Sus scrofa: one gene and its partner. The protein of the gene in region 1 purifies or fractionates together with the protein of each later gene. This does not show direct contact. Links are inferred from orthologs where the notes say so. Each region holds a gene or a part of one and is shown on either strand. Other genes may lie near its edges.

What was found.
Region 2: the proteins of FIP1L1 (region 1) and CSTF2T purify together in Homo sapiens (co-immunoprecipitation; 3 studies listed by BioGRID and IntAct, with this or other methods). This does not show direct contact. The link is inferred for Sus scrofa from reciprocal best matches to the Homo sapiens genes FIP1L1 and CSTF2T.

Annotation. Positions count from the first base shown.
Region 1 is NC_010450.4:40,166,145-40,172,154, reverse strand, and holds part of FIP1L1 (pre-mRNA 3'-end-processing factor FIP1), read right to left. Parts: intron 5,550-6,010; coding exon 5,446-5,549; intron 2,024-5,445; coding exon 1,959-2,023; intron 1,427-1,958; coding exon 1,316-1,426; intron 727-1,315; coding exon 596-726; intron 307-595; coding exon 238-306; intron 1-237.
Region 2 is NC_010456.5:98,102,556-98,109,307, reverse strand, and holds the start of CSTF2T (cleavage stimulation factor subunit 2 tau variant), read right to left. Parts: upstream 4,352-6,752; 5' UTR 3,473-4,351; coding exon 1,625-3,472; 3' UTR 1-1,624. UniProt on the Homo sapiens protein: May play a significant role in AAUAAA-independent mRNA polyadenylation in germ cells. Directly involved in the binding to pre-mRNAs.

The DNA of each region.
Region 1 (6,010 bases):
TCACAACATATAGCAAGAACAGTTTTACTTGGCATTGTTAGTATAATAGGCTACAATTCACATGCTTGCAAAGTGGAGATAAAACAACAATCAGCAAATTTGTAAGTCACCAGGAAGCTAAAGGATTGGAAAAAAGGTAGCTATTTCCACTTTAATCTCATCCCTTGAGTAGTGGTATGGGAGCAGACTCAAGAACAAAAAAATGAGAGCAACCAAGGATAATTTACTAAAATTCACCTTAAAAAGATTGAATCTGCCATCTTGGATCTCTGCACCTGGTGTAACTTCCATAGTACAGTCTTCGGCCTAAGTTAAATAACATATTCCCCATTAAGATACCACATAAATTTTAATTGTAGGCCATATAAAGACAAACTAGCTGTGGCTAGTTTGTGACTTGAAACTAAAAACATCAGATAATCATTAATATGAAACTCTGAAAGGGAAGGAAGGGAAAAAAACAAACATGGTAAAATGGAATTTTTAAACTATCACATAGCATTTAACCACCTTTATAGGGAACAACTGATTTACTTAGGGAATAAAACTGGGACAGTAGAAAAGGCTGGGGTATTTTGGAATATTTACTAATTACCGTAATTTTATTAGTAGTAGAGGTAACTGGTATAACTTCAAGTCCCATTCGTATCCTCTTTTGTTTTTCACAGTAAGCTTTCCAGGTATCTTCATTAAACCCATAATTAAAATAATCAGAAAGATCAGCACCTAAAGATAAGACACACTTTTAGTGTGCAAATATTTCAATTCTATTTTTATGCAGCATATAATATATATTAAACTGTAAGAATAAAAATGGAGGGCGTTCCCTTCGTGGCTCAGCGGTTAATGAAACCGACTAGGATCCATAAGGATTCGGCTTCGATCCTTGGCCTTGCTCAGTGGGTTAAGGATCCGGCATTGCCGTGAGCTGTGGTGTAGGTCACAGATGCGGCTTGGATCCTGCATTGCTGTGGCTCTGGCATAGGCCAGAGACTACAGCTCTGATTCACCTCCTAGTCTGGGAACTTCCATATGCCGCGGGAGCGGCCCTAGAAAAGGCAAAAAGACAAAAAAAAAAAAAAAAAAAAAGAATTATTTCCTTTAGAAATGGCATTAATAAAACAATGTGCAAAGTCTACTCTTACGTAATGCTAGGCTGTAAGATTTATTAATACAGGTCATTATTATGATATTCATAAGACAACAAAAATTACATTTAAAAAATAATATTCTAAACTGATGCTGAAAAAAACTTTTCTAATAACTGTTTATAATAAAAATCTTTTTAAACTGACATAATCCATAATAATCTTACCAGGTTTTCGCCATGGTTTATCTTCAAAAGAATCCAAATCAACCTCCAAGAGTGGAACTCCATTAATGCTTCCAGGTGCGTCAAGATCCACTCCTTTGACTTTCGTTCCTACTTTAGAAAAGTACAAAATGGTGAAGGAACCACATTGGAAAGAAGCTGATACTACAGACAAACAGAAAACACTGACACCTTTTTACTACTGTTAGCATAAAATACGGCAAAATCCTAAACAAAACGGCAAGGTTTACCATAAATAAACAGTAAGGTCAAAATGTATGGTATAGCTGTAAGTTAAAACGGATAGAGAAATTAGGGACTTGTTGCTCACAATAAGGGATTCCTATACCAAAAGGAAGTTGCTAACTTCCATGTTCTAAATCACTGTAGTCTGTGAGCTAAGAAAGATTTTTTACTTCTTCAAAGGTTATAGGACAAACAAAAAAACCACACATACGTGACAGAAACCCTATGTGACCCACACAACCTAAAATATTGATTACCTAGCCCTTTACAGAAAGTATCTCCACTACATGAAAAATGGTCAAAAACTGCTTTTTAAAAATGAGCTGTAACAGCTTACAACCTATTCATGACCTATTCAGATATATATTCCTATGGATGCAACTGCAAATACAAATTTTACCTGTAGTCCCATAAACTCTTCCTCCTGTCTTGATGTTAAGATTTACAGGTGCTGTGCCGTAACTCCTAAAAGTAAAATAATAAAAATTATCCTGAGAAACTTAAAGTAAAAACAGCAATATATTCTGTATGTAACATAAATTATACACCCAAACATTAACTGAATAAACTGAAACTAGTTCAAACATTTTAGAAAATGTTTTAAACTAATTTTAAGGGTCTGTTCCTTGCTTAAAAAAAGATAAAAACAAGTATTTTTTTAAAAGTCTAATTTTCCAACTCAAAAACCTACTTGCTACTAACTCAATTTCCCACTGTAATAAACTTCCCAGAAATTTGACTGTGAAAGAACAGTTTAAATGCTTTGTTTTCATCTCATCTCCTACTCATTCAAATGGACTTGTGAAAATGCACTGCTTTTCACCTGCCTAATAATTTTCATCTTTTGTCTCCAGTGTATTAAATTTGAAACCTAGGTAATTCTGCTTAAAGATATAAGGATAAATTCAACAAAATATTCAAATACTTGTATAAAGCTCCACTGCTATAAACACAGGAAGTATGAAGTAGCCCCAAATAAACTGTTACTGTCAAGCACTACTTCTACTTAAAATGTTTACTCATCTCATTGGCTAATTAATTCATTTAGTAACTGCTCGAGCATCCACATTACATCATATATAATGCTAAGCTAAAGAGAGAATGAGCAGCTAGACAAACATGGTTCCTCCCCCACAATGCTTACATTTCAACAATCTAAATTAAAAAAAAAAATCTAAATTTAGCACAGCAAAAGCTCTTTGGGATATCTATACATGATGTATAAAAGTCCTAGATGTTTGAAAGTCAAAGTAAAAAACTAAGGATTATTTTTAAATGGTTCTCTTACAGAACTGCTAAAAGATAAATCAAAACCATATTATAAAAGGTTTATCATACTTCATTACATGAATGTCTCTACTTTCCCTTTCCCATTCTGCCTTTTAAAACATTTTTTAAATGACACCAAACATTCATACTCGCTGTGTATAAAGAAGCTTAGCTACATCAAAAACCATTCTTAAGTAAATCTGATACCATCCAATAACCCCCCATGAAGTCTCAGGCTTCTCTAGGGGCTATATCCTATATACTTTAATGTCTAAAGAGAACGTCAAAATAAATTTATCAAGGGGAGTTCCCTGGTGCTCTAGTGGTTAGGATTCAGCGCTTTTCCTGCTACGGCCAGGGTTCAAACCCTGGGCTGGTAACTGAGACCCCACATCAAACCACTGCACACTGTAGTCAAAAAAAAAAAAAAAAAAAAAAAAAACATCAAAATATTTATTTTTGGAGTTCCCTAGTGGCTAGTGGTTAAGGATCTGGTGTTCTCACTGCTATGGTCCGAGGTCAATCCCTGGCCCAGGAACTTCTGTATGCTGCAAGCACAGCCAAAAAAATTTTTAAATTAAAAAATGTTTTAAATAAAAATATATAAAAAATAGGCTGGTAGGAGAGAGGGAAAAAAATTTAATCTACTCCTCCCACATTACCTACACATGGTAATACAATGTTATATACACAATGAACTGTCCAAAAACCTCTAAACCACTGCACCTTTTATCTACCCCTCCATCTATAACCAATCTGTTACCCATGTTATATCCACTTATTATTCACTCAAATATATCTAATTTTTCCATCTATCCCTATATTACTGTTGCTGGCTTAGTTTGGATTATCATCCCATGTGGACAATTACTTCATAGCTGTTAACTTCATTTCTATCTAGTCCATTTCAATTACCACTGCTAGAGTTTATATTTTCAAATAGTGGTGACTTGCCTATAAACCTTTTAAAGGTTCCATGATGATGACAACATGCTAACTCCCATCTCTTCAGTGGTTTCAAGCATCCTTTCTCATCTACCTTATCCTCTAGTCTTAAGATCCTCTAAGCCATGCTTCCACTACATATACATAGTATCACCCATCTAATTTATCTGTCCTTTTGTCTCAAGAATTATTCACACAAGTTCAAATAATACCACATCTAGGATCTTCTCTTCAACACCTACAGACTTTTAGCAACTTATTCCTTTATACAGCTTCATTCCCAATAAAGCTACTTAATGAACTATAGTGCAATTAACAAAATTTTATGTTTCCAATGCACAAGCACCACAATATATATCCATTCTGAAAAACAGAAAAGACGTCAATAGAAAAGATCTACCACCATAACAAAATCTAAACCTATACTTTATTCCCTTCGGATCTTCCTGTAAAATTCTTTCTATGTGCTCTGTGCATCCATGATAGTCCATTCACTTGATCCAGCTTTACAGACTATAATCCTTGAGACAACTTATCAGCCTAAAGAGCCTACAGGCAAATTAACCACTTGAAAAATACACTATGAAAAGCAAAAATACACACTTTTTTCTTTCTTTTTTTTTTTTTAATGCTTTTTAGGGCTGCACCCACAGCGTATGGAGGTTCCCAGGCCAGGGGTCTAATCCAAGCTACAGCTGCGGGCCTACACCACAGCCACAGCAACAGCAGATTCCAGCCGTGTGTGCAACCTACACCACAGTTCATGGCAACACCGGATCCTTAACCGACTGAATGAGGCCAGGGGTCATGGTTCCTAGTCGTATTCTTTTCCACTGCGCCACGACAGGAACTACAGAAATACTTTTGATATTGTTTTTATTGGACAAAAAAATTAAAAATCTAAACTCAGATCTGGATAAGTAAAACGTAAGAACAATGTAGATGTAAACAGCAATTCAAGGTTTTCTAATTCTATTTAAAGAATCTCAATTCATTTATAAAGATATTTCAATTTTAGAAATCAAAAATTGCTGCTTTTACATAACTTTACCTAATTAATTATTTTCAGGAAAAAAGTATTTTCATAGTGAAATCCCTTTTCATCATGAAACATAATTCACATATAACACTAAGTTAATTTTAAGTGTACAACATAATGATTTGACATATGTATAAACCGCAAAGTGATTACAATAACTTCAATTAATAGCTACTACCACACAGTTACAAATTTTTTTTTGGTGACAAGAATTTTTACCTCCTCTCTTAGCAATTCATTTGGTGAAATTTTAACAAAAGTTCTTTCATATCATGGTAAGATGGAAAAGTGTAAGAACAATTAAATCAATCACTAATTGTCTGATACAGGCACTCTACCTTTAATTTAAGCACACAGTTGTTACTTAAGAACTTACCCCAGAGTTCCCGTCCTGGCTTGGCAATAACAAGCCCGACTAGTATCCATGAGGATGCAGGTTCAATCCCTGGCTTCACTCAGTAGGTTAAGGAATTGGTGTTGCTATAAGCTGTGGTGTAGGTCACAGATGTGGCTCAGATCCCATGTTGCTGTAGCTGTGGTATAGGCCAGCAGCTACAGCTCCAATTTGACTCCTAGCCTGAGAACTTCCATATGCCACAGATGAGGCCCTAAAAAGACCAAAAAAAGAACTTACCCATACTGTGGTGCACCCGTTTTAATGTCTCCTATAGTGACATGAACATCATCCTCATCATCATCACTGTCGCTGTCACTGTCGTCTTCAGTCTCAGTCACTTTCTATATCAACATAAACAATCATAAAATACAGTCAACAATCCACTTCAATGACAAATATGAATCGCTGAAAAGGTTAATGGTTTTGCATTTTTTTGAGTTAATTACAGGGGAAAAATAATACCTACTTCAACTCAATTACAACTTTGATGATTTACATGATAAAGAGTTAAGAAGATGAAGTAACACCTTTTCTCAACATTCTTTTGGTAAATAACACCTCATGTATTTTTTGCTACTTTTATAACTGCCCCTCTTGCAAAAAAATCTAAGACAGTATACTAAAATATCAAGAAAATAAAATTATTTTTTAAAAGTATTTGAGGAATTTTTAACAAAAAGAATATGAAAGAGGAAAACAATCACGAGTCATGATTAAAAGCACCAAATAGTTAAGAAGCAGCTCACCTATTCCCAGCATCATTTACACGTAAAAGAGGCCCTACAAGCAAATGAATGAGGGT
Region 2 (6,752 bases), on another chromosome or scaffold:
CCAGAACTATTACACACAGGTTAAGAGTTAACCCCTCCAGAGGAGAAGCATGTAGAAAACATGGGAAGTTAACAGTGTGAACAACAATAAAACAGGAGTAAAAGAGGTTGCAGGAAACATCCTAGGGAAGAAAACTTCATAAAAAGAGTGCATTATCCACTTAAGATGTAAAAACTTGACAAAAGGAAAATAATTCAATTTCTAAGTCTCAGCTTTTTTCCCCCTCTTAACTAGATATTATTTCTTCTCCAGAGTCAATATCACCTGGTTATCTGGGTATTTATACTTCTATTAATTACTACTTGTTCTATCATACAAATTTTTAAGTCTCCATATCCTCTAGGCCTAAGAACAAATGAAGCAGTAGCTCTGAAGGAACTGTGATAAGCCCCACCTTCCTACACATTTTTAAATGTCTCATAGGTATGCATATTAGGACTAAAAAGCTTTATTACTTGTAAAAGAAAAGTGAGTAATAACCAACTCAGCACAGTTCAGGCTTTAAGAGTATCTCTACCTATCTGGGCCTCAATTATTGTTAAGATGGTGACAAAAAAGTAGATTTTTGAAAGAAGAAAACCAAAAGGCATTTTAAATGTTGCTGAGACTAAGATTTTAACTCCTGATTCTGGCTGACCAGATGGATACCATCTGTGTATGGAAGCTAGTTACCAGGAAACTAACACTGCATGAAGTCCCCCACTATTTATGAAAAGCCCAATGTTGTGTATAATTCATCCAGAACAACTGGTCCCTAGACTCCAGTTTTGGGGAAGGATGTGAGAGAATTATTCAGATTCACATTTAGACCTTAAAAGACTGAGAAATAGGAAGGTACTGAGAGATACAGAGTCTCATCAGAGCAGAATTAAATAACTTGGTTGACCCTAAAACTGTCCCAGCAAAATCATCAAGCCCAGGGCCTGGCCAAAATATTGCTCAAAGGGTGGGATAAATGAAATACCACACCAGATGCACTCTTTGATTTTTCAGGTAGCACAGCTTCAGAAAAAACAATTCCAATACCACAAGATGAGACTCAGCTGGTTAGCTCTAATGTTCTGAAGTAATGCCAAACTCTGAAACAATGCTTAACCTAATACAGCATTCCGTTGACCCCAAAATAGGATTTTGTATTTTAAATAGCTTAACAAAAAATATTATCTTGTAATTTTGAGGTAAACTTCATTTTCTTATACAACCAAACATCTTAAACTATCTTAGTACATTAACATTTTAACAGATTATCTTTTATCTTTATGTGCAGTTTTCACATTGTTTTACTAAGAATTTTAAAAATGTAGTTAACACATTGTAGACATTTTTCAATAATGCTGTATAATCTTTGTAATCTTATTGGTATAACCATGTTTAGTTATTTTTGTGTATTTACAGTGAATTGAAGTGAACAGACCCACTCCCACCTCCCCCTATCCCACAATTACAAAAAGGAAAAAAGAAAAAAAAAGAAAGAAAGAAACAAGGGATGAGATTAGGGTCCAGGAGGAAGGAAACCCTAATCATTCAAGTGAGGGGATGCAGAAGTCAGCTTTTTGCACCCACCCATTCTCTATATTACAGAAAACTTTTCTGGGATTACTGCCAAATATGTTCTCAAAATCTTTCAAGAAGCTCCAGTGGATTTCTGGATTTGCTCCTTTAAAATCAAGATACTCTGCCTTTGCTCAGGAGGCAGCATGGCAATTTGATCTGCAGTCAGTTGCAGAACCTGCATGATCAAAGCTGCCTTTTCTTGATCCTGTGGAGTTACTTGGCTCTGCCCAGGACTAAAACTGCTAGCCTGGCCTCCACCTTGCTTGCCTGGCCCTTGAATGCCAGCTCCTTGCATACCTGCTCCCTGCATGCCAGCTCCTTGCATACCTGCCCCCTGCATGCCAGCGCCTTGCATACCTGCCCCCTGCATGCTAGCACCTTGCATACCTGCCCCCTGCATGCCAGCTCCAGGATTTCCCACCCCTGAAATGCTTGGGACTTGTCTGGGTCCCTGAGGACCACCTGCCCCAATATTGATGGGACCAGGACCCTGGATTCCGCCGCTCATAGGGCCTCTCGAACTGGGGCCGGGGCCTCTCATCTCCATTCCTCTTGCATCCATGCCTCTTGCTTCCATTCCTCTGGTTTCCAATGCACAGGTCTCCATTCCTCTTCTCTCCATTACTCGTGTCTCTAAGACCTCAGTTTCCATGGCTCGAGCCTCCATTCCTCGAGAATCTCTACTACCTCTACCATCCATAGGAAGACCCCTTTGATCTATCATGGGTCCTCTGGGCTCTCCAATGAGCAGTCTGGGATCTGCTAATGGCCCTCCCCTCATTTCATGTGAGGAAGGGCCACGGCTGTCATGACCAGAGGCATGGTGCATTGGAGGACCCTGATGAGGTGGCCCAAGGTAGCCTCTGGGCTCTACTTCTCCAGTGACTGAAAGCAAAGTCCCTCCACGCGGGTCATTTGGAGCATCTCCTAACAGTCCTCGAGGAGGTAGGCCACCAGGAGCCATGGGTCCACGAGGCATAGGAGCTCTAGGATCCGAAATCTGCATCTGCCCTCGCTCTAAGGGCACTGGACCAACCCCTGGCATTCCAACTTGGGGCTGCATGGCTCCGCCAGGAGTTAAGGAACCAGGGCCAGGACCAGGAACTGCAGCTGGAATTGGCCCTGGGGCTGGAATTCCACCCTGGATAGGGGTCTGCATCAGAGGAGGGATGTCTTTCACAGGTCTTCTGGCCAAATGCTGAGGCTGAGGGGCTGGAGGATTCTGCTGGTTCAGCAGAACATTAGGTCCTGGGCAGAGTCCAGGGCCAGGGCCAGGGCCCGGGCCCGGGCCAGAGACAGGTTGAGATTTGCCTGGGATGAGTGGTGTGACATGTATTTTGCGATGCAAAATTTTCAGAGCAATCTCTGGATCCATGATTCTCATCACTACTTGTGCCTGCAACAGCGCATAAGCCAGCTGAGGGTTCTGAAGTAACATATTTCGAGCTTCCTGATGACTGTTTTGGACACAAAGCTTCATCTGCTTCATCAGCTCAAACATCTGCTCCGGGGGGAGACTAGCGACTGCCCTGGTAATTGATTCGGGGGCGTCTTCTGGATCGATGGGGTCTCCATAGGGAGAGTCAATGATGGGGGCTGCAGGCCCTAAGCTCTTTAACTCCTCCTTGTTCTTTTCGCTGGCAGCATTGTCCACCCGAAGCGCTCTCCCGCTGAACTCCCGCCCATTAAGGTTCCGCATGGCACTAAGCGCGGTCTCCTGGTCTTGGTACTCACAGAAGCCATAACCTTTAGGTTTTCCCGTCTCTCTATCGTATACCAGCCGGAAACTCACAACAGAACCAACCTCGGAGAAAATGTCCTTTAACTGCTCCTCAGTTGCCTCATACGGAATGTTCCCCACGAACACGGAACGCAGTGATCGATCCATTGCCGGGTCTCTCACCGCCAAACTCGACATGATTCCGGCTGTGCACACACGCCGGAGAGCGGATTCTTCCAAGAGCCGTCCTCTGGCGACCCACACTTCCGCCGAGCAACGGAAGCGGTTTTCAGAATCCGGGCGGAAACAGCAGTACTCTGCTGAAATAGTTCCGCTAGTCCGTGGCACTTACACCTCTACGTTCCAGTAACTAAACTAACGTTTTCTGCCCCTGGACTTTCACTGAGGCGCGAGATTCCCTTCTCACCTCTTATTTTTACAGACTTTGCACCGCGCGGTACCAACTCGGCCAGGAAAAGCTTAGTGCGGGAGGACCACAGTAAAGATGGCCGCGTAGACTTCACCATGGTAACGAGGAGCGGCCGCCTACCGTGACGTCACGGGCGGTTTTGCTTCCGTTTGCCCGGCGGGAAACCGCTAACTGAAAGCGACTAAGGCGGTGTGTTCTTTCCGATACAAGTATTTCCAAATAGCAGTATTATAGTGTAATTAAGCTATATTTAAAATCACAGTACAGACAACGAGGGAAGAGTGTAGTCGTGTTTCAAAGAAAATTTGGGATTTGCTTCTTAAAATACAAAATAATATTTCCGTTTTAGAAGAGCATTTTTGGAAAATACACAGAAATGCAAGCCGAAAGCGTGCGCCAGCTCCATCCCCACCCCCATCTCATAGCTTCAGGGAACCGCTGTGGATAGGTGTCTGGCCCTTACAAGTTTCTCTTTGTACAAGCACTCGGCAGTCGAACTATATTCATAATAATATTTTTTATTAATAACATTAACCAGTATTACTATTAATAATATTTCTGGCTACAGAGTATAAATTAAATTTAACCATTCTTATACTGGGAGGCATTTAGATTGGTTCTGATTATTATAAACTGAAGCAATGATTTCACCACTTCTATTATGATAGGGAAGCTTTTATAATGATAAAAATTTATTAAATTTAAAAATTATTTTCGGTTAAAATTTAGCATTCTAATTGATATGTACTATACTTGTAAAATGAGTGCAAGATTTTGAAAACTAAGTATAAAAACAAATATTTTTTATTGTTTCCATGTTGAAGTGATATTTTAACGCATTAGATTAAATAAAATATATTTTAACATAAGTATCACTCCATTTTTTCAATGTGGTTATTTAGAAAAATTAAAATTACTTATATAGATTGTTGCATGTCTGAGGACTGCATTGTTTCAGCCTAAGCTTTATTAACTCTTAAGCAGAGAATCATCTTATTCTATATGCGCCTTTGAGGGGATTATGAAACTTTGTTTCACCAAACAATTGTGTTACAGGGACTTCTGTTGTAGCTCAGCAATTATGAACCCAAGGATGTGAGTTCAGTCTCTGGCCTTTCTTCGTGTGTTAGGAATCTGGCATTGCCATGAGCTGTGTAGTTGGCAGACTCGACTCAGATCTGGCATTGCTGTTGCTGTGGCTGTGTGGTAGGCTGGCAGCTCCAGCTCCCAATCTACCCCTAGCCTGGGAACTTCCATATACTACAGGTGTGGCTCCAAAAAAAGCAAAAAAAAAAAAGAAAAAAAAAAATGTTGTCTCTTGGGTATCATAGTTCAATGCATAGATATAAAATGAGTATGAGGGTTTAGCTACAAAGCATCCATTTACCTTGCCAAGTGTTTTGTTTGTTTGTTTATTTTAGGGCCACACCTGTGGCATATGGAAGTTCCCAGGCTAGGGGTAGATTGGGAGCCGGAGCTGCAGGCCTGCACCACAGCCACAGCAACGCCATATCTGAACCTTGTTTGCAACCTACACCACACCTCACAGCAGTGCCAGATCCTTTAACCTGATGGGTGAGCCCAGAAATCGAACCTGCATCTTCACGGATACTACTCAGGTTCTTAACCTGCTGAGCGGCAACAGGAACTCCTACCTTCAAGTGTTTTAATAGTTCTTTAAAATAGCCTTGGACATAGTGTAGCCAAATCCTGGCCTCTACACCAGCACTGAATTGAATCTTGGAGACAGAGTTTTGGATGAAGCAGAAAAGAACAGTTTTATTGCTTTGCCAGGCAAAGGGGGCAGCAGCTGGCTAATGCCTTCAAGATCGTGTCCCACCCTGGAGAGGGTAGTGAAGAGTCTTAGAGTAATTGTTCAAGGGACAGAGTCTGATCAGACATTCTTCTGATTGGTAGGTGGTGAGGTAATTGCCTAGCCTGAAGTTGCCATCCTCCACCTGAGTGTATGTATTCTTCCTAAAGAAACAACCTAGGGACCTGTGCGTCCGGCCTTTATCTGTATCTTTCAGGGAATTGTGAGTTTGGTGATTCTGCTATGTGGCAGATTTACCATCTAAATTTTTACCAGTTTGGGGAGTTCTCATTGTGGCTCAGCAGAAAGGAATCTGATTAGCATCTCTGAGGCTGAAGGTTTGATATCTGGCCTTGCTCAGTGGGTTAAGGATCTGGCATTGCTGTGGCTATGGTGTAGGCCAGCAGCTATAGCTCTGAATTGACCCCTAGCCTGGGAACCTCCATTTGCCCTGGCTGCAGCCCTAAAAAGACTAATTAATTAACTATTAATTAATAGTTACCAGTCACCCAGCCTAACAGCTATTCTTTGTTTCTACATCTTCACACTTCCTAGTCATTATCTCCTGGAGTCAGCCTCTTACTTTAAAGAAATAGGACACAAGGCTTGTAGCTATTCATTTAAGGGTTTTAATGGCTATCCATTCAAGATATATGATAACTTATATCAGCAACCACAAGTGATAAAGTATTTTTATTGCTAGTAAATTTTATTTCCCCCTGATTCTTTTATTTGAGGTAGGGCAGAAGTGGAGGGGAGTTGAGGAATATATCCTTTCAGAAAAACTGAAAACAAGTTCATTTGGTTCATTTGTCTCCTTTTCATACCATCTCTTTGCTGAGATGGCCATGACTTTTTGACACATTTTCTGTCAAGAGCAACTTAGAAATCAATTACATGTGTAATTGTGTGTGTGTTAAATGTAGCAATCATGTAAATGATAATAGGCTTTAGAATAAATTGTAAAGTTCATAAACAATGTGTGCAGATTATCTGATCCTGAGTTTCTTTCCTGCTACTATTGACAGTATCTAAACTAGTGGTCCTTACACTTTGGCATGTATCAGGACCACCTAGACCCATGGCTAGCTGAGTCAGATTGCTGAGCCTCACCATCTCCTTGCCCCAGTTCAGATTCAGTATTTCAGGGGTGGGACTGGAGAATTTGCATTTCTAACAAGTTCTCAGGTGATGTTAATTCTTGGGGACCCCCACTTTAGGAATTATTGATCTGA